4 linked regions of the Struthio camelus genome follow. The protein of the gene in region 1 binds, or shares a complex with, the protein of each later gene. Links are inferred from orthologs where the notes say so. Each region holds a gene or a part of one and is shown on either strand. Other genes may lie near its edges. The genes, in order: PPP4R1, PPP4R3A, PPP4R3B and PPP4R4.

Region 1 (7,090 bases):
TGTAGTTTGCAGATGAGATGTTTTTATTGTTGCTGCTTGATACCCAGTCAATTAAAAAACACAAAGATTTACTGAAAATCTATGCCAGCCAGTCTATCTCATCTCAGTCTTTTCTTATAATTCATACTATCTTACATTTACATAATTTCTAAGTTATACCACTTGGACTACAGGTATGCCCACGCTTCCTTTTCCTTGCTTGTCCTTACTATAGCTTAGCACATCTAATAGCAAGACCACAGCTGGCAGAACTGCACACGCATAAAAGCTGCCTGCACTTCCAGTGTCCTCACAAGTACATTCTACTACTTCCGGAATACGTCTCAAAACCAGTTTCTAACTCCAATGCTGAAAACAGTAGCTTTCAAACGTACAACAGAGAGGTACTGTAGGCTGGGGTTTCAGGCCTGGGAAAGCCAGGCAAAAATTGCAGCGTTTGTCGTTTTTTTTGAAACTGCCTATTTCACATGTGCAAACATGAAATGTAATCCTAAATAATGCATCAACTGGGAAAGCTTTCATAAATTGCATAAGACCTGTTGTACATAGATACAAAGCATGACTATTTCAAAGAAGTGTAAGAAATAACGCTATCGACTACATACATACAGTCTCTTCAGTCTGTGTTATTTTTCTTTAGCTCATGTCCACCTCTCGAAAACAAAATCACATAAAATTCAAAACTGTAGAAGACATCAGGTGTGACCAAATTATGTCCAGACAGCACATGCTGTTTCATGCAGATTCCTGCTTTCTCTAAAAATAATACACTTAAGTAATGAGCTATTCACTTTTATCTACTTCCATCAGAACCTCACTAATTTTTTATGAGGCTTCAAATTTTTAGATTTCTATGGCTGCTGCCTTCAAAATGCTCTCATCTGAACTGAGTCATATCTCCATGCATATATAATTTCTTCCTTTTTAAAGGCAAGACTGCAACATTCAAGCCACCTCCAGGAACCCAAGGATTACAAATCATCTCTCTAAAGACTATAATCATTTCTTACTTCAACTACTGTCTTACAGTCAAGAAAAAAAAAAATCACAGTCTAAGTGGAAATTAAAAAAAGACATACATTCTTAAAAGTGTGACACTTTTCTAAAAGTCCTCACCTAATCACAAAGTTTTCAAACAGCTACACTACCAATCTGATTTTCAAGCAATCAGAACTGGGTGGCGAGGGGGAGGAGAGTCTTACAAAAAGGCTCTCTCTTTGTGCAAGGCAATACACAACATAAAAAGAAATAGAACAAATTTTAATCAGTTCACAAAACAGAAGACAACTAAGATGTTTCCAGTTAACTTCTGGAAAGTGTAAATAACATTCCCAGAAGCATTTAAGCCAAGAAAGCTTTTACTGCTGCAATCTAGTCCTTGTGAAGGCTGCACAGTAGACAAAGTACCTTCAGACAGTGACAAGGGTCTGCAAACCTACAGCAGACCGCATAGCCGAAGCCTATGCTATGAATCACCTCAAGAAGAGCTGACGCCTCCATTTTCACTTTCTATATAAAATTCATCTGGCTTCCAAGTTCTTTTAACACTGACACTACCCATATACGTCCTTCTCACCTGCATTCACGTTGCACAGCCCTCACTTTCAACCTTCATACCTCTGAACTAGCACTTTGAACGGGAATCATGTACTGCAACTTGCCCCCCCCCCCGACGTAACACTTTCCCAAACATCGATTCTCCTTCTCCCCATCAGTTGCAAGAAGAAGGGGGCTGAGTGGGGGGGGGGGACACCAAAACAAAACAAACTCCACAGGCCTCAGGCTCGAGAGCACCCACCCGGCTCATTCCTCCTGAGAAGCTCCCCACGCAATTCAGGAGCGATGACCGCCCCCTCCCCACCCGCTCCCCCCCTTCCCCGCCTTAACGGCTGCCGCGCGAGGGACGCGGCCCTCGCGCGACGACCGTTAACGGCAGCTCCCCGGCGCGCCCGCCCAACGCAGCGCGTTTCCCTGCGGCCGCGTTAGCCCGCTTACAGCAGCCCCTCACTCCAGCCTGCCCCGCTCCGCAAGCCCCCACCGCCGCCGCCGCCAGGAAAAGCCCTGCTCAGCCCGGCCTTGCCCCCCGCACGCCCGGCTGGATTTTATGTACATAAGGAAGCGCGGAGCATGGCCTCCTCCTCCTCCTCCCACAATGCACCGTGGGCATTCACATTTGAAGCTACTTCCTCAACCGCAAAAAAGCCCCCGGCCCGTGGCCGCCCCAGCGCCCCCCGGCCCCACTCACAGCCGTCTATCTCCTCCTGCAGGTCCTCCTGGAGCAGCGACAGATCTGCGGGAGACACACAATGTGCCAACGCGCCCCGGCGCATTTCACCGCCGCCGCCCCCCGCGTGTCCCCACGCCCCCACTCACCCACCCACCCACGGGGCCCCGCCGCCCGCACGCGCCGGGGCCGCGCTTTGCACCCGCGCAGCCCGCCCGCCGCGCCCCCCCCTCCACCAGGGGAGGGGACCCCCACGCACGCACCTTACCGGCGCGCCCACGCGCGAGCCCGCCCCGCGGACCCCCTCCCCCGCCCCACCTTCGCATGCCAACCCCACCCCGGCGGCTCCCCACGCACGGACGGAGACACGGGGAGGGGGCGCCGCTGCGGGAAGCGCTTCCTAAACCGGGGCGGGGGAGAAGGAGGAGGGGAGAGGAGGGGGGAGGAGGGCTCTGGTGCCTCGCTAGGGAGGCGGCGTGTGTGGAAAGGGGGAGGATGGAAGGGGGGGGTGCTACCTACCCGCCATTTTGCTGTAGCCCCCACGGGGTGCCGGGCTACATTGAACCCGCTGCGGAGCGGCGAAGCGGGGCGGCGGCGGCGGGGGGGGGGGGCAGGCCCGGCGCGGCGGCGGCGGCGGCGGCGGCGGCGGCAGCGGCGGCGGCAGCGTCTCCCAGTGTCCCCGAGAGAGCGGCGCAAGGAGCGGGCGGGCGCAGGAAGGCGGGAGGAGGGGTCTGGGCTGGACACGCTGCCCCCGCCTCCGCCCGGCGGAGCCGCGCTCGCACCCGGCCTCGCCTCGCCTCGCCTCGCCTCCCCGCCCCTCGCACTGACTCACGCCCGGAGCCGCCCAGCCCTGCCCGCGGGCGCCGCGGCCGGGGCACAGCGGGGGGCCACCGCCTCCCGGCCGCCCCGCTCACCTGGCCGCGCCGCTGGCCCCAGCCCCGCCGCTGGCGGACCCCCCCCCCCCAGCCGCCCGCTCTGCCGGGGCCTGAGCCCGCTTGGCACTGACGCCGCTTCCCCTTGGCCCGGCCGGCTCCTTCCTAGCGTCTTCCCCCTCCCCTCCCACCCCCCGCCGCCTCTCAAAAGGCTCCGGCTCCCCCGCTCCGCACCGCCTGGCGTTGGTGCTGCCCCGGCTGCTGGCGGTGAAGCCAGGCGGCCCTGCCCTCGCCCGAGGGGTCCCCACTTCGGGCTTCGTGGGGTCACCCCGGCGAGAAGGGTCGCTGCGAAGCGGGCAGGCCGCAAAAGTCTGCGCCTTTGGGCTTTGTGGGGTCACCTGCCAGGTGTCCCGGCCACGAAAGTCCTCCCGCGAGCTTTTTAGTGCCACCCTGCAGAGAAGGGTCCCCACGAGGCGGCCGGGTCACAAAAGTCCCGGCTTTGGGGCTTTGTGAGGTCACCCTGCAGAGAACCGTCACCGCAAAGCGGCCGGGCCACCACCCGGACACCTCGGCCGGCTTAGCCAGCCGGCAACCTCCTGCCTGGCGCGTAACTCGCGTGGAGGCACCTCTACAGTTCGGCTGGTGAACCGGCCCTCCGAAACCGGGGGTGTTTTTGTCATTAATTGTACTTATTTTGATAGATTTTTCCACTGTAAATTGGAAGATTATAGAAGCTGGATAAAACAAATGCTCTAATTTGCAGCTACCCGTAGCACTTGCTAAAGAAAAGGACCGTTACCGAAACTGATGCTAACTGGGAGTCTTGAGTGTTCCACCATCTTTTTGTTATCTCTGTAATCATCTTTGGTGTTGTTAAGATATAGAATAGCAAAACAAGTTTTTTTTTGTCCATTTTATTCAGAAGGGATGCAATTTTAGTAGATCAATTTTTAACTCAACAGGGTTGACGTCATGTCTTGTAAGTAGTTTTTTAATACCGAACCATTGTTTTCATTTTATTTTGTGAATCACTTAAGGATTTAATCCCTATAGTAATTCCTTCTTTTTGCCATAGTGGCTGAAAATGTATAATCTTTCTTGAAACTGCACACATCCTTTTCCTTCCATTCCTGTAAGAACAAACTGCTTTCTTTCACAGCTGTTCAAACCTTAGAGAAATCACTAGGGCCCACTGGATGCAGATTATCCAGCATTTCTTTCATTCAAATATATAACCTTAAAAACTGAGTAAATCAAGTAAATTCACCATGACTACATGATATGGACCATGCTATTCTCTACCAGTGTAATTTAAGAGAAGACTCGGTAGAAATATTTGACATCACAAATAGCTGGCGATGCTGGATATGATAGCAATAGGCCTAGAACACAAAAATAAAGCATACTCAAAGAACAACTTTTTATTAGCTCCATTACTGTACATTACTTCCAGGAAGGTTTCTTTCTTCTCCACGTTACAGTCTTCACCATAATCAAGGCCTGGTTTTCTTCTTCTGAAGTCAGTAGCAATTGCCTAAAATGTATGCACTTGCTGTTCTTGAAGGAACCAAGGTTTTCCGTTCCTTTTTCCTACTCGTTACAAACAGGTAGTAATGCATACTAAATATAGATTACTATGGTCTGAGAGCATCAAAACTACCTTGACCATTTATGTAATAGAACAGGGTAAAATGATGAATGCAAGAGAGCATACTTGACATAATTTAACACCAATTTTGGGGTCTTCCTATGTGAATGGGGTATTCCTAAGTGGTGGTTAGTTCTTTGTTTGTAGGTGGGAATATGGATAGGGTCAGGGTGATTTACAAGACAAATTATAACTGCTCAGGAATTGCTTTTTTGTTTCTCCTACAAGTGAACTAGTAGACTGTTTTCCTCAGATGAAACTGGTCCTAGTACCATTGTTAGTAGTCAGCAGGAAAGGTCTCTTCCTATGCAAATAAAAATACTGAGGCAAAAACTTTGGCTCATACCGTGACACATACGTGGAGAAAAATCCCTTTTTTGGCTTCATGCCACCACACAAAACCAAATCCCACATAATGAATAAGTAACTAGATAGCCCTACTTCTAAACTTCCTGGCTTAAGGAGACCATAAATTCTATACCTTGATCTCCCCAGACACTATTTAAGGGCCTAACCTAAAGTTCAGGTTAATTGTCAGATTCCTACTGGTCACAAACAAGGCAAATAGAAACCTTCTAAGTATATTCTAAGAATACGCACTGATTCTCTCAGATAGTGTGATGAGCCGACTTTCATAAAATAATGTATCTAATTCTGAAAGAAAAATTTCATAAGAAACTTCTCATTTTATTAGCTGAAGCGTGTTAAGGATACTTTTGCACCTACCAAAATATTCTAGCCCATTTTGTGCTGGTGTTCTAATAATCTGTTTGACTACCCTTAAAGGCATTGGAAAATAAGAAATTTAAGGCATAGATAAACTCAAGTTTGAACGCTATATCCCAAGAAAAATACGCTCAAAGGATGGACGCCAAGGCTATGAATGAGAAGATACAAATGGAAGACACTGTGGCAAGAGTCTTCACGTGTGATAGAAGACATCTTTATTGCTATATATACGTGACTTATCTCAGAAAAGCCCATAGCAATTAACAAGATCCTTATAGTATTTATATAAAGTACTTCATAAATCTTTTCAAAACTACAAAAATGACCAAGTTAAACACAAGATACCTCATATCCACCTGAGTGTATTTGCAAAAAGTTATTCTGAAGTTGGGTTACTGACATTTCTTCAGTCAAAACTGCTGCAGGCATAAAGGCCTCAGGCTCGAGAACACTGCAGGCCCAAGAACTCACACGTGAAAATATCTTATTTGCTCTCCTTTGCTGTGAAGAAGTAAGTCTCCTTGTTTGATCAGAAAACAATGCCAGGCTTTCAATGACCGCAAGTTAACCCGCTTTGCGTTTCTCCCAGGCTTCCCTTCCTGTGTGGGAAGTCCTTCCCATAAATATCTGCAAAGCCATCTTGCTACCTTCCTTCAGATTCCTCCTCAAAAACTCTCTTTTCCTGTAAAGCCTACAAAAAACTTTTTTCAGGGTTAGACTTCTGGTGCACTGAGACAACTGCTCATCCTCTTGAGTAATACTGACTCATAGTTTTCTTGCCCTCCCCCGGGATTCTGTCTGCATACATCTGTTGTCTCTTGCTTTACGGTAAAACAATGAGTTGTCTACTTTATAGACCATCTTTTTGTTCTTTTTGTAGTGTCTAGCTCAAACTGGCCCATGACTGAAGCTCACAAGCATTAGACTATATATACCCACATAAACAAATGAGTACCTATAATACAAATGGACATATGTAAAAACCTGGAGGCTGAAGCCTGAAACATGTTAATTTTGCATTTGAAAATACATCATCTATTGGAGCATTTATGCTAAAAAGGGCTGTACATTGTAAAGCCTTCTCTTCCCTTCCCTTTCCTATTACCTGTTGTGCTTTTCTCTCCCCCAGTAAAAAATACCTGAGTTCTTTTTTTTTTTTTGACTCATCACTCGTGGATGACAAATTTTTTGATTGTGCACCACAGTTTTATTTAATTTCCCCATTTTCCTGAGTAAGAGCCTGAGCTGGTGATTATTTGTGAATATCAGAATGCAGCTGTCACTGCTCCAAGTGCAGGCCTCGCAGAAAGATTGTAAACAATATACATATTAGTAATTTTGCTGACTGCACGTGAATAGTTGTACCTGTTCAGGACTCTGCTGAGATACAGGATTTGATGGATCTAGGAGGCTTTTTGGTATGACAGCCATGAATGAATTAGTCTAAATTTGCTGACAAAGAACTTTGCTAACGTAAAGTTAAGTTTGCCTCGTGGGTATCTCATGTCATTGCAGGAAGTCAAGTTCAGTGATAATTAAACTTCTGAAAACTAGCACGTACAAAACTGAGGCACCTACTAATGCAACCTTAAGGCTGCACTGGGAGCTTGCAATGGC
Region 2 (7,356 bases), on another chromosome or scaffold:
AGCAACAGCATCTGAGACATGATTCATAGGGTATGTGTGCAAAACTGTGCATACAGCAGGAATTTGAGATGCTGAAGTGAGCCAACCCTCGATCTGCAAAATATACAGTCATTAAGGGGAATCCTTTCTGCCCCATTTCAGTTTCTCAAAATCTTTAAACAATGACACCAGAGTTATAAAAACATTGCATTAAAGCTATAGTCCTGATGTTGAATTCTTCCACAGCTTGCTGGCTTACAATGCACCCAAAAGGTATTAGCCCTTTTAGACTCATGTAAGAAGTTAGTATTGAATTGCTTGTTCGCTATGCAGCCCAGCCTCTTCCAGAGGTGCTTTAACTTTTATAGGTGTTGTCTTGTATTGTGCTATATCTCAATGGTCCCACTCAAGAGGTCTAAGTTAGAGCACGACCAGGACATCCCCAGCTGCCCACCCTGCCTTCTTCTCTGGATGTCAGAGCTGCTTATCCATCAGCTCCTCAATCAACCCAGTTTACAGCTCAAAGTTTAAGGAAAAGCGTCACTGTTTGCCTTAAAAACGCTGTCACAATTTGGGAGGTGCTTCGTGAGCTCACAGACATTTGTACAGCCAGAATAGGCCAGAAGCAGCTGCCAGTAACCTTCGCAGCTGTCCCAGGCTAAGCCATCCCTTCTCGTCAGTCAGGGCTTTCAGTAAGTGAACCAAGCTGTTCCTGACCACTCTGTCCTCAGCAATATTTATAACTCTTCCAGTCTCTCTCTGCCATACACAATTTTCATTCAGAGATTTTATATTAACTTTCTAATTATTACTACAAATCCTAAACAGCATCAGTCCCACTCTTGATTTCTGCACGATTATCTGGAGTCACCTCCACTGAATAATGGTTCTGAGCTATGCCTGTCTCTCAGCATCTGACCCATGTGGCGTGGGCTTTCTTGATAGCATACAATGCCGACTTTCCAGAAAAATACCTGAGAACTATCCAAGTATATTATATCTGCACCATTACTCTTACAAGCAACTTTGTAATCTAACAAGAGATTAAACAATTTTGAAAGTCTTTTTTCCATAAAGCCACATCAGCTGCTATCGCTATGTTCTAATCTTATAATTCTTACCGATACTGTGTATCGGTATTTATTGTTGGTCTGTGATTGTTGTCAGATAAATCAGTCCATTATTATCTATCTGTTCCAACATGTCCTATTTGAATTCTTACAAAGTGTCATGTCTTGCAGAATTTCTGCAATACTTGCAGCTTCTTAAAAAATTAGCATGTTTTCATACCTCACATATGCAAACTTCTTTAGGACTCCCAAATTCCAATTTTTTAGGACTTGCATATTTTCAAATGTTTATCTCTAAGATAAGTTATTTAGTGTGCTTCTTAGTAATGAACAGGGAGGCACTTAGTCATCTTCATATGATATAAATACATCAAAATTCTTTCCAAGTATAGAAAAAAATGTTAAACAGTTCTACTTTTTGTATCAATATCAAAAATTTTTTAGTTGTGATATCATAGGCCTGGGATACCGTTAAGATTTGGAAAACTTGAGCTGTTCCTAAAACTACCAGCCATACATATTCTGATGTCCTCATCCATTTTTCTATGCTTTCTAGCTTTATTGCGCAGATTGCTAGAATTGTCATTTTTCTACTTGTTGTTTATGTTTATTTCTAACTGTTGTGTTCACCTCCCCATTGAACTAGAAATGTATTTTTCTGAATTTGCTGTCTGAGTTATGTCCCGCTTAATTTCTTCTGGACAGACACCCCCTACTTTGCTACAATTTTTCTATATAATGTTTCTTCTCAGTCACTCATTTTCCACAGTTTTTTGGATATAAGCCCTCTAGACAGCCAGTTCTCTGTGCTCTATTTAGTATGGATTTTAACCTTGTTTTCACATACAGAATGTAACCATATCAAACTCAGGCAAGCAGAGACTTTGATTTTAATAATTTTTTCATCTTTATCATAATAAAGTCTGAAGTTGTTAATTTCTCTAATATGATTTTTTTTTGTCAGAAAATCATTAGCTATGTTTTTAGGAGCTCTAATCATGCTTTAGTGCATACCTTCAAGATATATGTCTGCAATGGAGTTCCTCCTAACAATGTAATTTTCTTTCCCAAAGCTGTGAGCAGATATTGAAGGAAAAAAGTCATCTTCCTTAGTTCTGACTGCTGTGCAGGAGGCCCTCAGTAGTAAACCCCTTCTAGGCTTTATTCATTAGTATATTGATCCATATGCATTTATATATCTAAGGATATGAAAGGTTTAAAACTGTGTTCAATACTCCATTTCCTTATTTATTACTCAGTTCCAGGTGGGCCAAAACTACTGCCAGGACAAGGTGCTGGGTTATTTACAGGAACTAAGTGAGCCTAAGCTTTTGGTTCAGTTAAGGATGACCTCTCAATATCAGGAGAATCCCTGAAGATATTTCCTTTGGGACACACAATACTTCATACCTCTGGAAATGGAGAAGGAATTGAGATGTCACGTGGCAAATTTTGTCTTCTAAATCATGACTCTGAGAAAAATAAACTGAGTGTTTTCTTCTTTGGCATCTGCTTTCCATCATGGGAGGATGCCGTCAATGCCCAGCCTTTCTTCTGGCATCACTGCGGTGGAAAGTTTCGAAAAAAATGACATCCCCCACCAAATACAATGAGAATTGAGATAAAACCTGACAGCGGGCATACTGTAGGACTGAGCATTGTTCAGATTGATATTAAGATAATACAAAGAAAATTAAGAAAAGCTGAACCCCAAATGTGCACAAAGCTAACTTTCTATGCCAACTAAAATCTGATTGAGCTTTTTTTGAATTCACCAAAAAAAATAAAAAACCAAAAGAATAGTCTATTGTTAATCCCACGGCCACCAGAGGGTACAATTTGTAAATGAGTGCAGCTGTCCCACAGAGGTTTCTGTAGGTGACGTTGGCCTGTTTTGAAGTCACAAAAATCCATCTCCAGAATTGCCCAAGATAAACGCGTGAGCAGCACCTCCCCAGGTATGGCCACCCGGGGGCTTCCTCGGTCACCAAGACGGGGGCGCTGAGCGCCTTTTTGTGCCCGTGCTGCTGGAGGGCCTCCCTTCAACAGGGCCCATAACCTACGGTTCTCAGAAAACCAAGTCCTTCCAAGCCAGTAATTATATCAGCCCCAACATAACTCACTTTCATAAACAAATATGGAATACTTTGAAAAATAAGCCAATCTAAGTATATAAATTGCAGTGAGCTCCCATGTACGTAGCATGTCCAGACCATGTTCTGAAATGGACTCGCTTGCGTGGCGATATGTCTGTGGGCTCCAAAAGGCACTAGTGGTTTTTGCCTGTGGTTTTTTTTTTTGTTATTTAATATTGATCCATCCTTAAAAGGGGAATCTGTCAAACATATGTTCAGATGTTGGCAGCAGCGGCAAAAGCAGAGGCTCAACAGCTTCGGCTTGTTACTGCAATTGTTAGAGGTCGCGCAGACCCAAGAGCCGCTCGACCAGAAGCCGTTTAACTTTTGGATCACTCAGCAGGGGGCGACGGGGGGAAAAAAAACAACCAAAAAAAGATCCGATTCCCCCCCCCGCCCCATGAAACCACTCTTTGGCAAGAGGACGGCTCCAGACGCGCGCAACAAAACAGCCGCGACAACCCCACGGTCTGCTCCCCCTGGCGGCACCCCCGCCCGGCCTCACGGCGCCCACGGCCGCGCGGGGCCACGTGTGTGCTGCCCGGCAGGGACGGCAGAGGCAGCGTGCTGCGTGACGGGGGCTGCGCGGTGCCAGGCGGCGAGGCGTGGGCGCTGCGGCCACGCGTGGGCGCGGAAGGAAGCGCGGGGCCGGCGCCGGACCCCGGCCGCAGCGGGGCGGCTGGCCCTTTAAGCGCTGGCGGGCGGCCCGTGCCGCCGCTGGCTGGGAGACCCCGCGCCTCCAGTGAGAGGTGAAACCAAGATGGCGGCCGCGCAGTGACTGAGGCGGAGACAGAGGCGGTGGGAGCCGGGCTGGACGGGCCGCGCCACGCCGCCGCCGCTCGCCCCTTCGGCTGGGCAGAGCTCCCGCCTGCCGGCTGCGCCGCTGAGTGCCTGGAGTGCGGCCACGCCGCAGGGCGCGCTGAGGAGCCGCGAGTGAGCCGCCGCCGCCGCAGCACCGGCAGGAGGAGGAGGAGGAGGAGGAGGAAGAAGAATATGGCGGCGGAGTCGGGCTGGGAGTGATCCGCCGCCCGCGACGGGAGCCCATGGGGGAGACGGGGCGCTGAGCCCGGCCGCGCGCTCCGCCCCGCCGCGGGACAGGCGGTGCCCGCCGGCCCCACGCGAGCCCCGCCGGGGAAGGAGGGCGGTTCCTGGGAGCCCCGCGCTGACGGACGGCGAGCCAGGGGCTTCGGGCCTGGGCAGCTGCCGCACAATAGAGCCGCGCTCGGGCCGGGGCGAGCGGCCCCGCTCCCGCCTGCCTCCCGCCGCCTGCTTGCTCCTGCCGGCCGCGCCGAGCCCGTCGCCAGGGCCCCGGCCTGCCGGGTCGCCCGCTCCTGTCAGCCCGGGCCGGTCGGTCGGCCGGCCGCCGCCGCCCGTGCCTTCGGCTGGCCCCTCCAGCCCTGTGGAGCCGCTTCTCCTCCGGGACCCCTTCCTGGCCGCCGCTTCTGCCTGCCCTTCGCCCCGCAAGGAGCCTCTCCGCGGCTCTCCCCAGCTTAGGCTTGGTCGCCTCTTGTGCAGCACCTAACTGTCCCTGGAACAGCTCGCCTTTCACCGCCTCGGCCCCCCTTCCTGCCCCCCCCCCCCCAATCCTCTGTTACTGCCGATAATGAAGATCGTGTTGGAGCACTGAAGAGGACTAAGAAGAGCTCTCCTGGCGTGCCCGTGTGGGGCTGCTACCCTCCTTCCCGCTCCCCTCCTTTGAGGGGGGCCGAGCCCCCCGCCAACCTCCCGCTTCTTCAGGTCTTGCAAGCCAGGGTGGTGGCAGTGGTGTGGCAGGCGGCAGGATGACTGACACCCGGCGGAGGGTGAAGGTGTACACGCTAAATGAAGACCGCCAGTGGGACGATCGAGGCACAGGGCATGTGTCCTCTTGCTACGTGGAGAGGCTGAAGGGCATGTCCCTGCTAGTCAGGGCAGAGAGTGATGGTAAGTGTGTATATGTGAAGCTGTTAGAGCCTTTCCTCGTCCTACTCCAAAAAGGAGTAGGAGTTGGCTTTATATGTATGTCTCTTGCCTTAACGTTTTGCTGCATAATTCGAATGTAATTCCTGAAAGCAAGTAGGCATCAGCCATAGTTCATTCTTGTTAGGCCAAGTGAAAGGAATGGACGATTGCCATCAAGTGCAAACATTGTAGTAGGCACTTGGTTCGTAGTGAATACAGTACTGCATGCCAAATACAATGAAGTCTAATTGCAAGTCTTGTGCAAGATTGGGTATCTGATGATACCTAGTCTACTCCAGACCCAAAACTGATCATTGTGAATGCTTCCTTGGATGTTTCTGGAAGCAACCCCCTCATGAAGGGAGTTGCTTAAAACTTAGACCATACTTTTGGAGGGATTTAAAAAAAAAAAAGTCATTGGATGATTAGATGGCTAACATCCTTTATTTTTCTTTCTTTTTTCACCCTGTTTTCTTTGGTAGTAAGATTTTACAGGGCACTAGCAGCTAACAATAATTATCAATGTGCAGTTGTAGTAGTAAAGACAACACAATGGACAGAATAGCATTTTCAGAGATGCTTTATTTTTTTTCTTGAAATAGTATTTTTCAATCCTTCAGCAGTTTTAGATCTGCCTGTAAATAAACTTAAGATGATGCATAATCCTTCACGATTTTTGGCAAAACCTACTACAGTTTAAGTGGTAGTAATATTTACCCCTGTAGCTACATGTTTGGACTAGTCTTGGTTATTGGATGAGTGATTTCCTGACTGCTGCGGTCCGAACAGATTTTAAACAGCGTATCTTGCAATACCTCGTGTGTACTATTTTGCTAGTAAAGTCTGTCAATGCGTGACTGACTTTTTCATTAAATATATAGCCACTCTATCTAGTGACTTAAAGATCTAGTTGTGACTTGTGCCTGGCAATAGGCGTTTTATTTTTATTATTGTTATTTTATCTGGCCTTTTCATTATAGAAACTTGGATGAGAGGCAGCTCCAGAATCATCTCATGTCTGAGAAAGTTCTGACAAACTGTACAGCAGTCTCTACAATAAAGAGATAATACGCAGATATGGAGGAGTCAAATTTGCATCTGAGCAGGATTTTGATCATTAAGTTTCTGATAAGCATGAATCTCAGATTTTTGTAGTTTATTAATTATTCTTTAAAGTCTTGTGTTTAAGACAAGATGTCTTTAAGACTTGTTTGTCTTCAAGACTTGTTTTTTAGTTTTCTTTTACTAAAGAAGCTATGGTCTTTATTTTGGTTTGACCAGCTTCCTAGTGTATGACAAAACATTCAAAATGGAAGTAGACTTAGTTTAGTTTCGACATGAGTGAGGGAGGTTAAAAGAGAAGGAAGGTCATCACTCAACTTTTAAACTAATCCTGTGTTCCAGTATATTTTACTGTAGATATAGTCCTTGCTGTCTACATGGCTGCTGTACTCAGGAGACTCTCTTAGCTAATGTTTAAATACTGTCATGTCCTGTTTTTATACTCTAATGATTAAAGTTTCTGATTTTTTTTTCCTTTTCTTAACAGAAGAAAGCAAAAGTACTGCAGTTGGTAACTTGATTTCAAGTAATTGTCCATTCAAACTAAAATACCATTTTAGCAACTTTAGGTGGGATATGTATGTTTAAAACTGATTTGTACCTGAGTTCAACTGCTGTTGCCAGCTTACTTATTGTAAATGAACTTCTGTAAAAAGGAAAATATAAACTGGTGTGAGTGATCTCAGAGGAAATGTGGAGTCATTACTTTCAGTGCTACACAGTTCAGACACTAAAATAGTTAAAGAAGGAGTTGTTCAAACTTATGCTTCTGTGCATTAGCTGCAGTTATTTAATACACACATTGGACTTTTCTCAAACAGCATATACTTTAACAGTATTGAATAATATACAGAGCTAAAGTTCTTAATTTAGTAGGTAGGATCAGTCCTGGTCAAATGTGCAGTCTATTAATAGGCTTAGTTTTTCTAGCTTGCTTGCGCAAACACCTCCTAAAATTTGATTTATATTTTGTTTACCCTGGTAATTGGTTTGTAAGCTAATTTTGAAGGCAGATGCAGTCACTTATAAATGCAGGCAAATGATTTGAAAAAAGGTGATGCCAGACTTATGTTTTAGATACTATGAAATTTGTTGTATTCCATAGCTCTTGTTTTTCTCCTAACTAGAAAAATCATGGTCAACCACTTCATTTATCAAAAACATAGCAG
Region 3 (7,015 bases), on another chromosome or scaffold:
TTGGTATCCTAAATACTTACAGAATTATTGAGTGACAATTCTTGTAAAGGAAGATTTGCATATAGCAAGTAACTTTTTGGATACTTGCACAGGATCTGTCCAACTTCTGAGTGAAACTTCTCTGAAAAAATGGTTCCACATCTGTTTTTCCACCGAAAGGTAAGAATAACCTTAACTGGCCTATTTTATGTTGTCAGCTATCGGTGCCCAATTTAAAATAATATAGGCTTAGCAAGCAAAAATGTATTACCTCTAAGCAAATCATACTTAAATTCACGTGCATACTTTTCCCATGCTTCAGTATGGAGAGAGCTATGAAAATACTACTTCAGTCTAAGTCTACTACTTGTGTTCTGCAGTGAAGACGATTCATTTACACTGCTTTTTCTCAGACCTGTATGTGTAACTAGTGAAATAATTTTTAGACAAATAAGCTGTCTTAGTATTTTTGTGTTAAGATATTAAAGTCTGGAGTATTGTTGCACTACCACTGTATAAGCAGAGTTGGTCTTTGCTCTGAAGAGCTAGCAGTCGAGACAGCACACTGAGTAAATGCACTAACATTGGAAAGAACAGGTTACTTTTATAGAAACAAAAAAAAAAAGTAACACACTGTCTACTGAAGTTCCATTTTTTTGTTGTTGTGTACGAACAAAACTTGGTGCTTTCCGTTGGTTTAAAGAATAATAAAGTTTCTGAAACCTTCCCATCACATCCAAGCTCTAGTGCTATATTTTTCTGCCAGGCCAAGAGGGCTGGAATTTCCTTCATTTGACAATGCTGAAATATTCACGTAGGCACAAAGCTTCAGGAGCTGGGGTACTCTTAAATGCCAGCAATATATACTGCAGGTATTGTAGTGACAGTATTAGAGGTGGCAGAATTGTACTTCTGGGATTATATGCCAGAGGGAATGGTATGGTCTCTTAATTTCACTCCAAGAACCTTTACATGATTTAGGAATTAGTTGCTTTTCTTGTTTGTTTTAAAAGCAAAAATTAAAAAAGAAGAGCTCCCTGCAGCTCCATACTGTGACATATGATGACTTGCTCTGTCTGGAGTTCACCCTAATGGAATTCTTCATTTCAATAAAGAACAGAGAGCTGTTTCTAACAGCTCCAGCTCATTGCTTTGTGATAATGGGGAGAGATGGGCTACTGGCAGGTGCAGCAGCACAGTGAAAAAGTGCTGCTTTGATTTTCCTGACTTTCACTTTGCATGCATTGTTTTGTGTCTTTTGTGTTTTCCCTGGTTTTAAATCAAAGCTGTAAGAGCCATTGGGACAAGTCTTGTATATCTTCTTCAGGCAAAGCGCCCACAGATTTGGCTTGAGCTTTAGTGGAAAACATTACAAGGTAGCGACCCAGTTCCCAACATCCCTGGTCCAAGTTCTCCTGTAGCTGGGGAGTTCTCAGTGCAGTTCTGCACGCAAGAAGCTCCACATCTGCAGGAGTACAACTGGGACATGTTCTGGAGTGGCATTTTTCCATAGAGGTGGTTGCTCTCGTGTGTGGAGAGGCCACAGATTTATTACATAGCCCTAAAACGAGAAATTATTTTTTGTTCCGATTCTGACTCGTGTATCGCCTACTCTTTTCATTGCTGTTCACAATGATAGATGAGAATTTGCTCCACAGTGTTCTAGTGTGGTCTTGAGCTATTCTGTATATCTGGATAAATCCCATATTTAGTCTTTAGTAAGAGTGGCCGTATTTGAACTTTTACATGCTGTTGTTTGAGAAATTGAAGAGTGTGTGTAGAGGTGCTGTTGAGGGGAGAAGGAGCCCAAGAGTGGCAAACATCTTGAAGCAGCACAGCGCTGATCATTGGGTTTTGTGTTTCTCTCATGCAGTTTTACTGAGCTTTTACTGAGACAAAAATAGGCCTGATGGGTAGAACCTTGAGGGCATCGGGCCATATAACAGGGCAAAGGCCAGACAGGTAGCTAGGAAGGCTTATGTGGAACCCAGCTGTAAACTGCTTAATGTGGTTTCACCAGCCACAATTTGAGACTCACTAAGATAACATGGCCTTTTCCAAGCAGTTACTTACCTCTAACTATATGATGTACCTTGAACATACTTTGCTGTGCACAAGTGTATATGACAGTTCTCAAAAGTGCATCTTACATTTAACGTCTTTTGCAAAGAAGAAAAGTAATGACTGCGTGTCTCCAGTGAGCCCTCTTAAAGACAAAAACTGGTTCAACGGGGGTTGAACCTCAGTTCCCCAGAACCCTCATAAGGGTTCTTCAGTTAAGCTTTCTCTTACCCTTTTTTATATGTGGATTGTCTTGCAGATGTTAAATAGGCAGACTAACGAGTTTTCAGACGCATCAGTTTGCCTCTTAAGAAATGTTAGACTTTTCAGCTGATCAGCTGAAACAAGCCAGCTGCTCAAAAACTGCATCTTGCTGCCACCAAGAAATGATCAGTGACTGGCAAATGTCCAGCGTACTGAACAGTGGCGAATTTTAAATAAGCCTGTTACAAACAATGTATGTCAGAGCAGAATATCTAAACATGAGACTTAAATGTTACATAAATACTCTGAATAATATTTTGCTTTCCCGGAGAATATTTTTTTAATATCATGAAGGCGTGACATATAGTTGCTTACAGTGGCATGTTCTGCAGTAAACTGCTGCTTTCCCTTCCATTTGGAAGGAGATTAACTTAGACCAGAGAAATGACAGTGTTTTAGTGTTTACACCTATTCAGGTGTAATTGCTTTCTCGCTTAGGCAAGAGCTAGGAGAACTTGGGTTTGCCTGGGACTGAGAGAAACTCTGGCCTGCGAGACGCCCTGGCCTGCAGGTTACTTGCTCTTCCCCTCTCCCTTCTCTTCCAGAGGTTGAAAGATTTTTATGGTCCAAGAAACTGCCAGTTGCCCTCACCCCAAAGGGCCCCACTGTCTCGGACAGCTCTGTCCTTTGTACGCTCCTGTGTCCTTTTCCCCTGCCCTCATGCGCATACTGAGGTTTACTGAACTCTCCCAGTACATTAACCAGCCATAAATACAACATCCTTCCTTCTTTTGCCCAGCAGCGTCTGTTCCGCTGCTCTCGTCCTTCATTTGCGTGTATCCATTAAAGTAAACTTTAATTTTCAATTAATTTTATTCTTAGTACTGAGAGAAAATGTATAACTGCTCTTCAGTACAAAAAAAAAAAAAAAAATTATTAGCTTCAGTGTGTCTGGCAAGGGGTCTGTCTTTACCTGCACAGCGTTTGCAGGGACCAGTTAAACAGCTCTTTCACTGACAGGTTTCACAGACCAACTTTACACTTCTTTGTACCCAAAAGCTTTGCCAACCGTGCGCAACAAAATGCGTTACTGCAGCCTTTGCGGTGGGGCCAGAGGAGATGTTACAGAACAATACTGCTGCTATTTTATGATAGGAGAGAATCCTCAACCTTTTTCTTTGAAAACGGTTTTTTTTTTTTTTTAAATACTAGGCCTTGTTTAAAGTTGTGTTATTCCGGTATAGCTCCTAAAACTAAGCCAGGCAGGACGCAGATCTCTCAGTTAAAGGAAGTTTGCATCACGGAGCTAGTCCCGTACAAGCCTCTTCCCCTTCTCTCCGTGCAGACGTGGATACCCTGGGCGGGGTACCAGCTTTTTTGAGAGTCTGCGGGTTTTTTTGTTGGTGGAGGTGTTCCTTTTGTTTGTTTGTTTGTTTGTGTTTTAACTGTTACACGGCTGCCGTTTTTCTGATGTAAAGCAGCCCTTCAGAAAGGCCATGCGCATCGGAAGGCCGAGGCTGTGAAGCACCGCGCACCCGCTCTTCGCTGCGCCGGCAGGTGAGGGCCGCTGCCGGGCCGGTAACTGCGCAGCGGGGCCCGGCCCCTTCCCGCCCCTCCCCCCCCACCGCCAACGGCCGCCCCTGGCCCCGCCCCCTTCGTCGCCTCGGCGAGCGCGCGTCGCCTCGCGGCCGCCGTAGCCCCTGCGAGTGGAGCCCGTGGCTGGCGCTGAAAGGAAGAGAAAGGCAGCGAGAGTCGGGTTACAAGATGGCGGCCGCGCTCTGGTAGCGGCGGAGCGGCGGCAGCCAGGGGCCGAGCCGGGGCGCAGCGTCGCCCTCTCGCCGTCGGGGAGCCATGAAAAGCGGCGCGTTAAAGGCCCCGCGCTGCCCGTGAGTGGCCCGGCTCCGCGCCCGCCGTCCCTCGCTCCATCGCCCCCCCCCCCTCCGGAGGCGGAGCGGGCCCGGGCTCGGGGCCGGGGCCGGCGCGGAGGCCCGAGGCCGGGGCTGCACCATGTCGGACACCCGTCGGCGGGTGAAGGTCTACACCCTCAACGAGGATCGGCAATGGGACGACAGGGGCACGGGGCACGTCTCCTCCACCTACGTGGAGCGGCTCAAGGGGATGTCGCTGCTGGTGCGCGCCGAGTCGGACGGTGAGAGCGTGGCCGGGGCCGCGCGGAGGCCTAGGCCGCCCCGCCGTGGGCCCAGGCCCTGGCCCGGGCCCAGCCCCGCACCGGCGGAGGCCGCGGGGCCCGCCCGCCTGCCGGGGCCGTGCGCGCTGACCCCTGCGGCGCGGCGCGGCTCGGCGCGCTCCTGCGCCCCCGCTGCTGCCCCGCTCGCCGGCGCTGACACCGGCCACGGCGGGGGCTCCGCCGGTGGTGTCTTCCCCGGCGCGCTTATCAGAGAAGACCCGGGAGGAATTGTTTTCCCCTTTCCTTTCTACGACTTGTGTTTTCCTTCAACGTTTCCTTCTGATAAGTTGCAGCAGTGTTGATGAGCGCGACCCTAGGCTTTTTACTCTTCCAGTTACCCTAGCTGTGGCTCTGTTCGTCTTGACTGATAGAGGTGAAATTGTTACATGCGATGACAGTTTCAGAACAATTTTGTTCTGTTTTGACGTACTCTTTCTCATCCTTTCTTGGTACTGTAGAGTTTCTTTTAAGAAATTCGCTCGTTGTATTTTGAAATGATTGAGTTGGGTGGCATTCTTTACCTTTTATTGCACTTTGAAGTCACCTTATGGATCTTGGGTTGGGGGGGGGAGAGACACTCGCCACTTTGTCAGCCAACAGGTGCTAATGTGCTAAATAAACCACCTAAGACTGGTGTAAATTACTATGGAGCTGTTGCCAGGCTACGTACACTGCTTGCATACACAGAGTCTTTGGGTTTATAGCATCTGGATGATTCACTTCTGAAGGACGGTTCAAGGAAATAGTAGTAAAAAGACCACATGGCTTGTGTGGACAAATACATTTTTACGCTGTACAACATGTTATCTGCTGCAAGCGCGTACAGAATTATTAAATGGCCTTCAAAGATATTAGTTGTCACACCATGTTCTAGGAGAAAAAAAAGTACTACGGAGAATTTTGGTCTAAAGTAGAAGAAGAAAACATATCTTAAACTTAATTTGGTTATTTCGGTTGAATTTTGTGTTTTGCCTGGCTTATTTGTAGAGGACTATATTTTAAAGTGATCGTTCTCTTGAACTTTCTGGAAGACGCGGACTACAGTGAGCATATGTTGGCTGGCATATGGGCAGTTCTTGTAAAATCTATGGAGATGTTTGTTTTGTTTAACTTGGTAAATTTGTCTTGATACCTTTTCCAGGTTCACTGCTGTTAGAATCGAAGATAAATCCAAATACTGCATATCAAAAACAACAGGCAAGTATTACTAGGCTTTTTTTTTTTCCTTATTGATAATGAGAATTTGCGTAATGCCCAAACTAATTGTGATTTCCAGAAAAAGGTAAAATGTCACATGTAACTGTTGGTGGTGTTTTCCACAGAGGTGAAAAATTAGCTTAGAAGCTTGTAGGTGCTGTACTGTTTTGCATTCTAGAAATTTAAATGTCAGTCTCCCAAAAATATTTTTGGACTTAGGTTTTGAAGATAATATGTGCAAAGTATTGAGCTCATTAACAGAAAAATAGTTAGAAACGTATGCGTGTGATTTTGTCTCCCACCCCAGGTTGTATAAAGTAATTACCTCATTAGGAAGGCAAAATTTTGTCCAACTCTATTGCGTTATATTTGTTTCTTAAGGTTTTTTTTTTTAGACATAACACCAAGGAATTTGTCTTTGTGGGACTTCTGTTATTGTTTGTTTGTTTTTGTTTTAAGCCTTGAAAACTTCTGCTCTCCTGAGTAAAATTACTATGCCTGGTGAGACTTACTTGCACAGTTGCCTTTCCTGGGTGGGGGTAAGCCTTCTGCAAGCCGAAAAAGTGAAACAGTAGGGAGCTATAGTAATAGGCTGTCTTTGTTAAGCCACTGAAAAATTAGCTTACTAAATCTCTTTTGCTTTTATCACTTCTATTGCTTTTTTTTTTTTTTTCTGCATGCATTTTTGGTGTCCCTGCCTACATTGTTCTCATGGCTTACTGCTGTTGTTTGTTTCCTTTCTGTCTATTCCTTTGTCCCACAGTAGATTATCTTTTTTGGTTGTTTTTTTTTTTTGTTCAGTATTTTATACTGCTTGTCATCGTTATAGTATCCAGACATCTCTCAGCACTAGAAAACAATTAACTTTGCTCATCTGAAATCGTGAGCAGGCAAACGTAAGAAGGTCTCGTTTGTTTGTTTTTCGTTCAGTAGAAAGATTTAGCTCTGAGCACAGGTTGGCTGACTGTAGTTTAGGAGGGAGCCTTAAAGCCCTGGGCGTACCTTTTCAGAGGTCTCCGTTATCTGTAGTTTTTATTTTTCACTCCTTATTTTGGTGTATTTAGTCAGTTGGATGATGGTCATCAATGTAGTTTGGTATATTTTGCTCGGTCTGGCCAGGTTGAGGAAAGAGGAGAGTCTTTATGGGAGCTCTGCAGGGTTCTGAAAGTCACAAGCCTTGAACTGCTCCGTATTTGTAGAGGCAATTAATACATAATGCAATACAAGTGCGGATTATGTTGCTGCAAAGTTAAATTGCTTCCTTTGACAGTCTTATTTTTTGGAATGTCATACTACTGCTTCTTATTTGAGAACCTTCTTTCCTTAACTGGTAGGAAAGTTTCAAGTGACTGAAGCAGCTTTAGTTTTCTGTTGTGGAGAAGTCTT
Region 4 (7,720 bases), on another chromosome or scaffold:
TGAAAGGAACTGGTTAAAGAAGGAAGGGAAATGCATATTTCATTTGTGGGAACACACTCGTGTGTATATTAATGGACTAAGCCATAGGGTAGGTGGAGATTACTAAAGGAATTCCTTAAAGATTAATGTTGTGGACTAGTCTTATTTCAAACATTCATTAATGACCGTGACACAATATGAAATTTGCTGATGGCACAAAGTTATTAATACAGAGGAGAAGTACGACATCAGGCAGATTGGGAGGACTTTGAGGACTGGAATAATGGGATGAAATTTACTCATACAAAGTGCAGGACCATTCAGTGAAGGCTAATACTGAGAATTTAGACTCTAAGACAGGAGTTAATTAGTTTTAGACGACTGTGGAAGAGAACGACCTCTTGTATCAATTGATCACAAGGTAACTGTGAGCTGCCAATGCAGTATATTTGGTAAGCTATCTCTTGAAGATATTCATTCTCCATAAAAGGCATTACTTCCCTGAAGCTGCTGTCTACAATACTATATAAAATTCTGGTCACCTTAATTCAAGACAGGTGAAGTCAAACTGCAGCAGGTGGGAAGAGGCCAATCAGGATGACCAGGAGAACTGAGAGCCTGTTTTATGAGAGAAGACTAAATGTTGAGCTTAGCTTGTTTAGCCCAGGATTAGAGGAGATATGATTGTGATCTTTAAATAGCAGGAAAGGAAGAATGCTTTAAAGTAAAGTACAATGCTGGTACATGAAGAAAGTAGGTAAACTGGCCAACAGTAATTTTAGGTAGAAAATCTGAAGTTTCTATAGCAACCAATGAGTAAAGAATACTGGAAGGCAAAAACTGGTTAGTTTTAATATCAGGTTTGTCTTGTTTATGACAGACTGCTCACTGTTGTCATAGCAAGGAACTGGAGTCATTGGCTACCTTTGTATTAGGAATAGAAACCGTGTGCTGGTCTTTGGCTCTGAGGCAAGCTGGCTTGACCGTGTTCACAGCAGTAAACTCCCTTAACCTCCCACACAGGGCACTCGTATCCTTGCTGCCTGCCGAGAATGGTCTGGGCTGGTGCTAACTCCTGACCTGAACGAAGGGACTGTTTGGGGGAATTCGTGCTGGCCTTGGGGACCGTTCTGGCAATGTAAGCAGTACGGAAGGCTGAGCTCCAGCCCCTGGGCCTAGGCCCAATATTGTTTAATTTATGTAATTGGTTCCAGAGATTTCTTCAGCTCCCTGCTCCTTTTTAAGGGTTGAAAAAATTCCCCGTAAAATATTGTCTAGACCTCTGTACTTACATACTGACGTCACTGAGATTTTTGCCATTGTCGATCTGCTTTCTAAAATGTAAATAAATACTGTTTTATGTGGATACTTCAAAAGTTAGTAAATCTGGGCAAAAGATGTGTATTTTTAAAAAATAGAAAAAAAATCACTTAAACTTCATAAAGCAATGTGCTATTAGATCCTACTCCGGATCAGATATTCACAAATAGCTAGAAGGTATGAGGAAAATAGCAATACATATTTACTCTGTTGTTATTTTGTCTTCCTGCATGTGTTATTAACTGCTTTTGGAGACAGGACAGCAGATTAGACATGGCAGGAGAGCTAGCTTTTCTTAGAAAGAATAGAGAATGCAGTCACCGTAATCTTATACATGTCATATTGCCTAAAAAAGGATATCTTTTGTGTACATATAAAATAACCTTAAAACCTTTTTGTTTCTTAGATCTTAATGGAGAGTATTAAGTTATAGGAAAGCATTGGGAGAACGGTTCACAGGTGATGAAAGCACAATGAGTACAATCCTGTGTTTTTCCATATACCCTTTTTAATTATATAGCTGTTACAATCAGTTGACAGAAGTGGCAAAAGAGCAATCAGAAATTTTTTGCAAATGACACTAGGACAATGCAGCAACAGTTTCTTAGCAACAAACTGGAAAATATGCTAAATAATGTTTTTATCTGACTGAGATTTGTATATACTACGTTTCAAGAATTGTTCCAAAGTAGACAGATTTTTCTGTGTGGTTCTTTTAGACTAATGTACTTACAGGTTTGCCTCCACTTGGAGTTTTGTTTGTTTTTGTTTGTTTGTTTGTTTTTTGAAGAGTAGCTTTTCGTGGACACATTCTTCCTTGGGGTAAGAATAAAATAAGAAATCTTGTTTTGGAATATCTTAATCCGAAAAATGTTTTTAACATTTATTAAATAAGCAGTAACAAAGCATTCACCTGTGAATCTAGACTTTTATATTCAAACAAGCTCTTGTCCATTTCGTTTTCTTGATGCTGTACTTCCACATCAGGAACTTTATCTAGATTGTGAACTGAAAAACATATCTGAGTCATGTTTCCAGTGAAGTGAAAGTACTGTGGTCATTAATAGAAGGAGGAGATAGTGGTTTAAATATGAAGCCAGGAATTGAGGGGAGAAATGTAAGCTTAAGGCATTAGATGGAATATCAAAGCTGCATTTTTGAAGGGTTTGGTGGACTGCAGTAAAGAGCCATCTTGGTGGTGAACAGACTGAAATGAAATTTCTGCACACTCAATTTAGGTGCTGAGTCCTGGCAGAACTGTGATTATGCAGTGCATGAATTACATAGTGTACAGCTGGAGAAGGCATGTCCTTCTGTATCTTCCACACTAGGTCTTTCATATCGCAACTGATTTAGGCATTGCAACACATTCTGAGACTTGCTAAATTTTCAACTTCTCTGTGAATAATCTGATTTATAGGTTAATTCTCTGGGAACGTATAACAGGTAAAGTAAGAATCACAAGCTTTTCAGAGCAATTTTGAAAATGGAGACACCTAACTGCTGGGTAACAAAGCTCTAACTGCAAAGGTTAAAAAAAAGAAGGTGAAGAGTGGAAATGAGTCTTCATTGTAGAGTCACTGCCAAGTATGTCAAAAGATTTTTTTTTAACTTGGGATTAATTTAAAAGCATTCATCAGGGGAGGTACCTGCTTTGGACTTTTCATTAAAATCAGAAAGGCTTATAAAACAGAAGATTTCTTGTGAGTAATTCCGTTTTGCAAGAGTCCTGGTAGTGGACTAGGACACAGTGAAGGTGTCCTAGCACACCTGACCCAGAAGGGAGGGGACACTACTCAAGGCAAGGGTGTTGCAGCAGGGGAAGTGGAGCAATGTGGAGGCTGTGGCAGTGGAAGGGCAGCTCCACAGGGGCCGTGGCAGTGGAAGGGGATCCCTGTGGCAGCCGTGGCAGTGGAAGGAGATCCCTGTGAAGGCCGTGGCGGTGCAAGGGCAGCTCCACAGGGGCCGTGGCAGTGGAAGGGGATCCCTGTGGCAGCCGTGGCAGTGGAAGGGCAGCTCCACAGGGGCCGTGGCAGTGGATCCCTGCGGCAGCCATGGCAGTGGAAGGGCAGCTCCACAGGGGCCGTGGCAGTGGAAGGGGATCCCTGCGGCAGCCGTGGCAGTGGAAGGGCAGCTCCACAGGGGCCGTGGCAGTGGATCCCTGCAGCAGCCGTGGCAGTGGAAGGGCAGCTCCACAGGGGCCGTGGCAGTGGATCCCTGCAGCAGCCGTGGCAGTGGAAGGGCAGCTCCACAGGGGCCGTGGCAGTGGAAGGGGATCCCTGCGGCAGCCGTGGCAGGGGAAGGGCAGCTCCACAGGGGCCGTGGCAGTGGAAGGGGATCCCTGTGGAGGCCGTGGCAGTGGAAGGGCAGCTCCACAGGGGCCGTGGCAGTGGATCCCTGCAGCAGCCATGGCAGTGGAAGGGCAGCTCCACAGGGGCCGTGGCAGTGGAAGGGGATCCCTGTGGAGGCCGTGGCAGGGGAAGGGCAGCTCCACAGGGGCCGTGGCAGTGGAAGGGGATCCCTGTGGAGGCCGTGGCAGTGGAAGGGCAGCTCCACAGGGGCCGTGGCAGTGGATCCCTGCAGCAGCCATGGCAGTGGAAGGGCAGCTCCACAGGGGCCGTGGCAGTGGAAGGGCAGCTCCACAGGGGCTGTGGCAGTGGAAGGGGAGACCCCTCCACTGTGTGTGGCGGTGGAAGGGGAAGCAGTGGAGCGGGGCCGGCTGCGCCGGGCGAGGCCCCGGCAGTAGGACGCATCCCCCGGCGGGTGGCGGGGGTGGGGGGGTTGGGCTGTGCCGGGAGCCCGGACGGGGGTCGTACACGCGGGAGCGGATCCCCGCACAGAAGGGCCTGCGGGCAGAGGTGACGGCGCAGAGCGCCCTGGCGCGTGTCCGACCCCACGCCCGTGTGCGTCCCCGCGCGGCGCGGCACAGCAGGCAGAAGGGCGGCGGGAGGCGACGGCGGCGCGAGACGGTTAACGGCCGGGGGGGGGAGGGGGGAAGGGGGGCGTGCCCCGGCCCTCGCGAGGAGCGGCCGCGCCCGCGCCCCCAGCGCGTTCGGCTATTACCGCGCTCGGGAAGCTCTTTTGCCCCGCCGAGGCCGCTGTAGCGCCGCGTTGCCCCGGCGACCGGCTCGGCGGTGGCAGGGCGGCCCCAGTGGCGGCGGCTGGGAGGCGGCTCCGCGGGGCTGGCGTCGCGCGGGGGGCGCTGAGGCGCCGGAGCCGGGGGCCGTCCCGGCGCGGACGCCGCGGCAGTCGCTCCCTGCCGTCGTCGGCGGCGGCGGGGTGGGGGGGACAGCTGCGCTGAAGGAGTGGGCCGGGGCCGGGGCCGGGGGAGGGGAGCGACACTGCACCACGGCGGCCGTCCCTCCCCCCGGGGCGGGGAGGGCAGGGGCGGCCCCCCGGGAGGCTGCTGGGCCGGGGCGCTGCGCGGCCGGCCGGGGCTGCTCCTTCAGCCGGTGCCTTCAGTGAGGAGAGCGGGGCGAGCCTGTCGCCCGCAGCCTGCGCTGGAGGAAGGGACTCGGCTGTCTGCTGCCCCCCGCCTTGCCTTCCCCGCGGGCCCTGAAGCGGCCTGGCCCCTCGCCCCCCTCGGCGAACACGGGCAGTCCGCGACGAGAGGAAAGTTGGCTCCAAACTCTCCCTCCGCTTCCTCGCCCCGGGATAACAGCGAGCCGCTGCCTGCCCGCCCCCGGGGGGAGCGGAGCGGAGCGGCCGGAGAAAGTTTGGCGGCGGGGGGCTGTGGCGGAGGCGGGCGGCAGCGGTGCCGCAGTGTGTGCGCTGAGGCGGCGGGGCTCGGCGGCTGCCGGCGGCGGGAGGCAGGCGCTGCTCGCAGACTTGGAGGGGGTGTTGCGTGGTGTCAGTCGTTTCTCCTCCAGTGCGATGTGAGACTCGGAGAGAGCATCGGTTGCCAAAGGCTCTGGTTGTTACATGCATCCAATAATCTTCTTCTCCAAAATGGATTTTACTCAGAGCAATTTATTTGGATACATAGAAGACCTGCAGGAGCTAACTATTATAGAAAGGCCAGTACGCAGGAGCCTGAAGGTATCTACTTCAAAATTGAATGATGCTTTAAAATCCATTTGAAATTTTTGCTGCTTGTATTTATGCACTGCCAGCTGACCAGGCAGTTTATTTTTACAGCACCAGAACATTAAAGCTTGTTTTCAGTTATGCTGGAATATACAATCTTGACTTCAGTATAGCCAGGAGTTAATATTTTCAGTGTAAGGGTGTTAAGCTGGAAAAAATGGACTAACATAAGCCTTTAATTTATATGTGACGTGTTTATGCTGTGTTTTAAATGATTAATAATGAGAGTATCTGACATGAAACTGTACTTTTATTATATCCCATCTCTTCCTGGTGAAAGATTTATTTGACTGAATTTGAAATAATTGGCTAGAGATTTCAGGGGTTAAATTCAAATTACTCATGTAACTATCCTTGAACATGGGGAGGAAGGGTTTGTTTTAAGAAGACTAAAACAAAGAAATAGTATGGCATTGTAAATTCATAATCTCTATTTCACACTTGACAGACACCAGAAGAAATAGAAAGATTGACAGTTGATGAAGAACTCAATGATATTGAAAGGGCTGTTTATCTACTCAGGTATTTCCTAAAGTATTATTGTGAAACACTGCTGACCATCATGTTGACATACAGTTTTTTGTGCTCTTTCTCCTTAGTCCTTTTATTTTCTATCTTTACATAGTAGTTGTTTTATACTTTTGGCTACATTAGGTATATAGGCAAGATTAAAATAGACACTGTCATTTTGTTAAACTTGGATGGAATAGGATGCCTGTGTGGACGTACGGATATTTCTTTGCCGAGTTTCTAATATGGCCCTCAGCAATAATGAGTTGTACTTCGTCTTCTTTTTCTCTGCAATTGGTTTTGCAAGATTCCCTGAGTCAAGTTGACATTAATAAGAGCAATCATTCGGTGACTTCATAGTCACTCTAGGGCATGGGCAGTTACCACGGACTGATAGCAGAGCTGTCTGAACATATTGTATACGTTTGCGCTATCAGAAGAGAAGACTTAAAGATTAGTTTCATAGTCTTTAGGAAATACTGCAGAATACATTATTTTAATATTAATCAATGTTCTGTTTTTTCATTTTATCTTCCTCTTTAAAGTACTTGAATAGCTTAAATTTTGATGGATTCAAACACAAATCTCTTTCAACTCTGCTGCAAAAGTAATCTCTGAGAGTAGGAATGTTCTGAGGCATTTTGATTTGAATATGCGTTTTAAACAATACTTAGTAATTGGAGAACCAGCTGCAGCTCCTTCGCAGTTTGCTTATTCTGCTATTTTAAGTGCTCTTACAGCCTATGCCTGTCCTCAATTTAAAAATATATTTTTTCAATGCCTTAATTTTCTCTTTTTGGGTATGTGGTGTTACTTTTAGGTAAACATTTTTGTCCACTAGTAGTATTTTGATACTGAATTTTTTGTGTTTTTTCATGCTAATTTTTTTTCTTCATTAAGTAATGGAGTTTAAAACTTCCGCTACTGCGGATAGATACTACAGATAGTAATCAAAGTAGTCTTTTGGCTCTAGGGTAATCTAGAGAAACCAATGTCGTTGCATATCATTTTAGGTTTTTTTATCTCACAGCGATCAGCATGGTCATCTTTTTTTTTTTCTCCTTCATGTGAAGCAGCAGATCTCTTGCTCCTTTCCTGATTAAAGATAGTGTTTCCAACAATAGGTCGTTACTGCATCATTGCGTGGTTAAAGGGTAAAAGGTTTGACTTCATATTTTTTATCTTACTAATTACTTTTCAACTTGGCCTTGAACTCTTCTTGACATCCTCGTCTACTTTCTCTCTACCTGAACAGCTGTTCTGGGGGACATAATATTCACTTCCTTGTGATGAAGTTTTTATTTTGCTTCTTTGTAGTCCTCATTGCTGAAAGGTAGCTTCATCTCTGCTTGAAAAGCTTTTTGCAAGGCAATTATTTGCTGTGATTATCCAGGTATGTTTATACATTAATCCAGTGGAAGCTTTTGCTGTTCAGTAGTGCATTGCCTTGCTTGCACTGAGTGGAGTGTAAGCAAACAGAGCTGAAAAGCTGTCTGTAACACAAGTAGTATCCTTTATACAATGCGTAAAAGCATATATCATTGTCTTTTCCAGTATTTTTATGAATTAGAATACAACACACCTACTTTTTCCTGTTTGATGGTAATGTCATGGTCTTTTCATGCCTCGTTTTCTCCCACAGGAGAAAGGCATTACTTGCCTTCTTTCAACTTGTCCCTTATGTGGAACTCTCCTTGACGTTATCCCATATGACACTACCTTTTCTGAATATCCCACTATAAAATTTGCTTTAGTGAAATTGAAATGAATCGTCAATGATGGCTGTGTTCTGTTCAATTTCGAGATGGTGATGCTATACCCATAT

The links.
Region 2: PPP4R1 (region 1) and PPP4R3A share a complex: the UniProt entries of both Homo sapiens proteins name them as parts of the PP4 complex. The link is inferred for Struthio camelus from reciprocal best matches to the Homo sapiens genes PPP4R1 and PPP4R3A.
Region 3: PPP4R1 (region 1) and PPP4R3B share a complex: the UniProt entries of both Homo sapiens proteins name them as parts of the PP4 complex. The link is inferred for Struthio camelus from reciprocal best matches to the Homo sapiens genes PPP4R1 and PPP4R3B.
Region 4: PPP4R1 (region 1) and PPP4R4 share a complex: the UniProt entries of both Homo sapiens proteins name them as parts of the PP4 complex. The link is inferred for Struthio camelus from reciprocal best matches to the Homo sapiens genes PPP4R1 and PPP4R4.

Annotation. Positions count from the first base shown.
Region 1 is NC_090943.1:116,180,927-116,188,016, reverse strand, and holds the start of PPP4R1 (serine/threonine-protein phosphatase 4 regulatory subunit 1), read right to left. Parts: upstream 3,003-7,090; 5' UTR 2,751-3,002; coding exon 2,744-2,750; intron 2,643-2,743; exon of another isoform or gene 2,551-2,642; coding exon of another isoform or gene 2,543-2,550; intron 2,291-2,542; coding exon 2,246-2,290; intron 2,173-2,245; exon of another isoform or gene 2,130-2,172; coding exon of another isoform or gene 2,111-2,129; exon of another isoform or gene 1,996-2,110; intron 1-1,995. UniProt on the Homo sapiens protein: Regulatory subunit of serine/threonine-protein phosphatase 4. May play a role in regulation of cell division in renal glomeruli. The PPP4C-PPP4R1 PP4 complex may play a role in dephosphorylation and regulation of HDAC3.
Region 2 is NC_090946.1:65,507,882-65,515,237, reverse strand, and holds the start of PPP4R3A (serine/threonine-protein phosphatase 4 regulatory subunit 3A), read left to right. Parts: upstream 1-4,343; 5' UTR 4,344-4,965; coding exon 4,966-5,107; intron 5,108-7,356. UniProt on the Homo sapiens protein: Regulatory subunit of serine/threonine-protein phosphatase 4. May regulate the activity of PPP4C at centrosomal microtubule organizing centers.
Region 3 is NC_090944.1:118,654,456-118,661,470, forward strand, and holds the start of PPP4R3B (serine/threonine-protein phosphatase 4 regulatory subunit 3B), read left to right. Parts: upstream 1-3,998; 5' UTR 3,999-4,251; coding exon 4,252-4,393; intron 4,394-5,573; coding exon 5,574-5,629; intron 5,630-7,015. UniProt on the Homo sapiens protein: Regulatory subunit of serine/threonine-protein phosphatase 4 (PP4). May regulate the activity of PPP4C at centrosomal microtubule organizing centers.
Region 4 is NC_090946.1:66,790,189-66,797,908, forward strand, and holds the start of PPP4R4 (serine/threonine-protein phosphatase 4 regulatory subunit 4), read left to right. Parts: upstream 1-4,700; 5' UTR 4,701-5,220; coding exon 5,221-5,337; intron 5,338-5,833; coding exon 5,834-5,907; intron 5,908-7,212; exon of another isoform or gene 7,213-7,288; intron 7,289-7,720. UniProt on the Homo sapiens protein: Putative regulatory subunit of serine/threonine-protein phosphatase 4.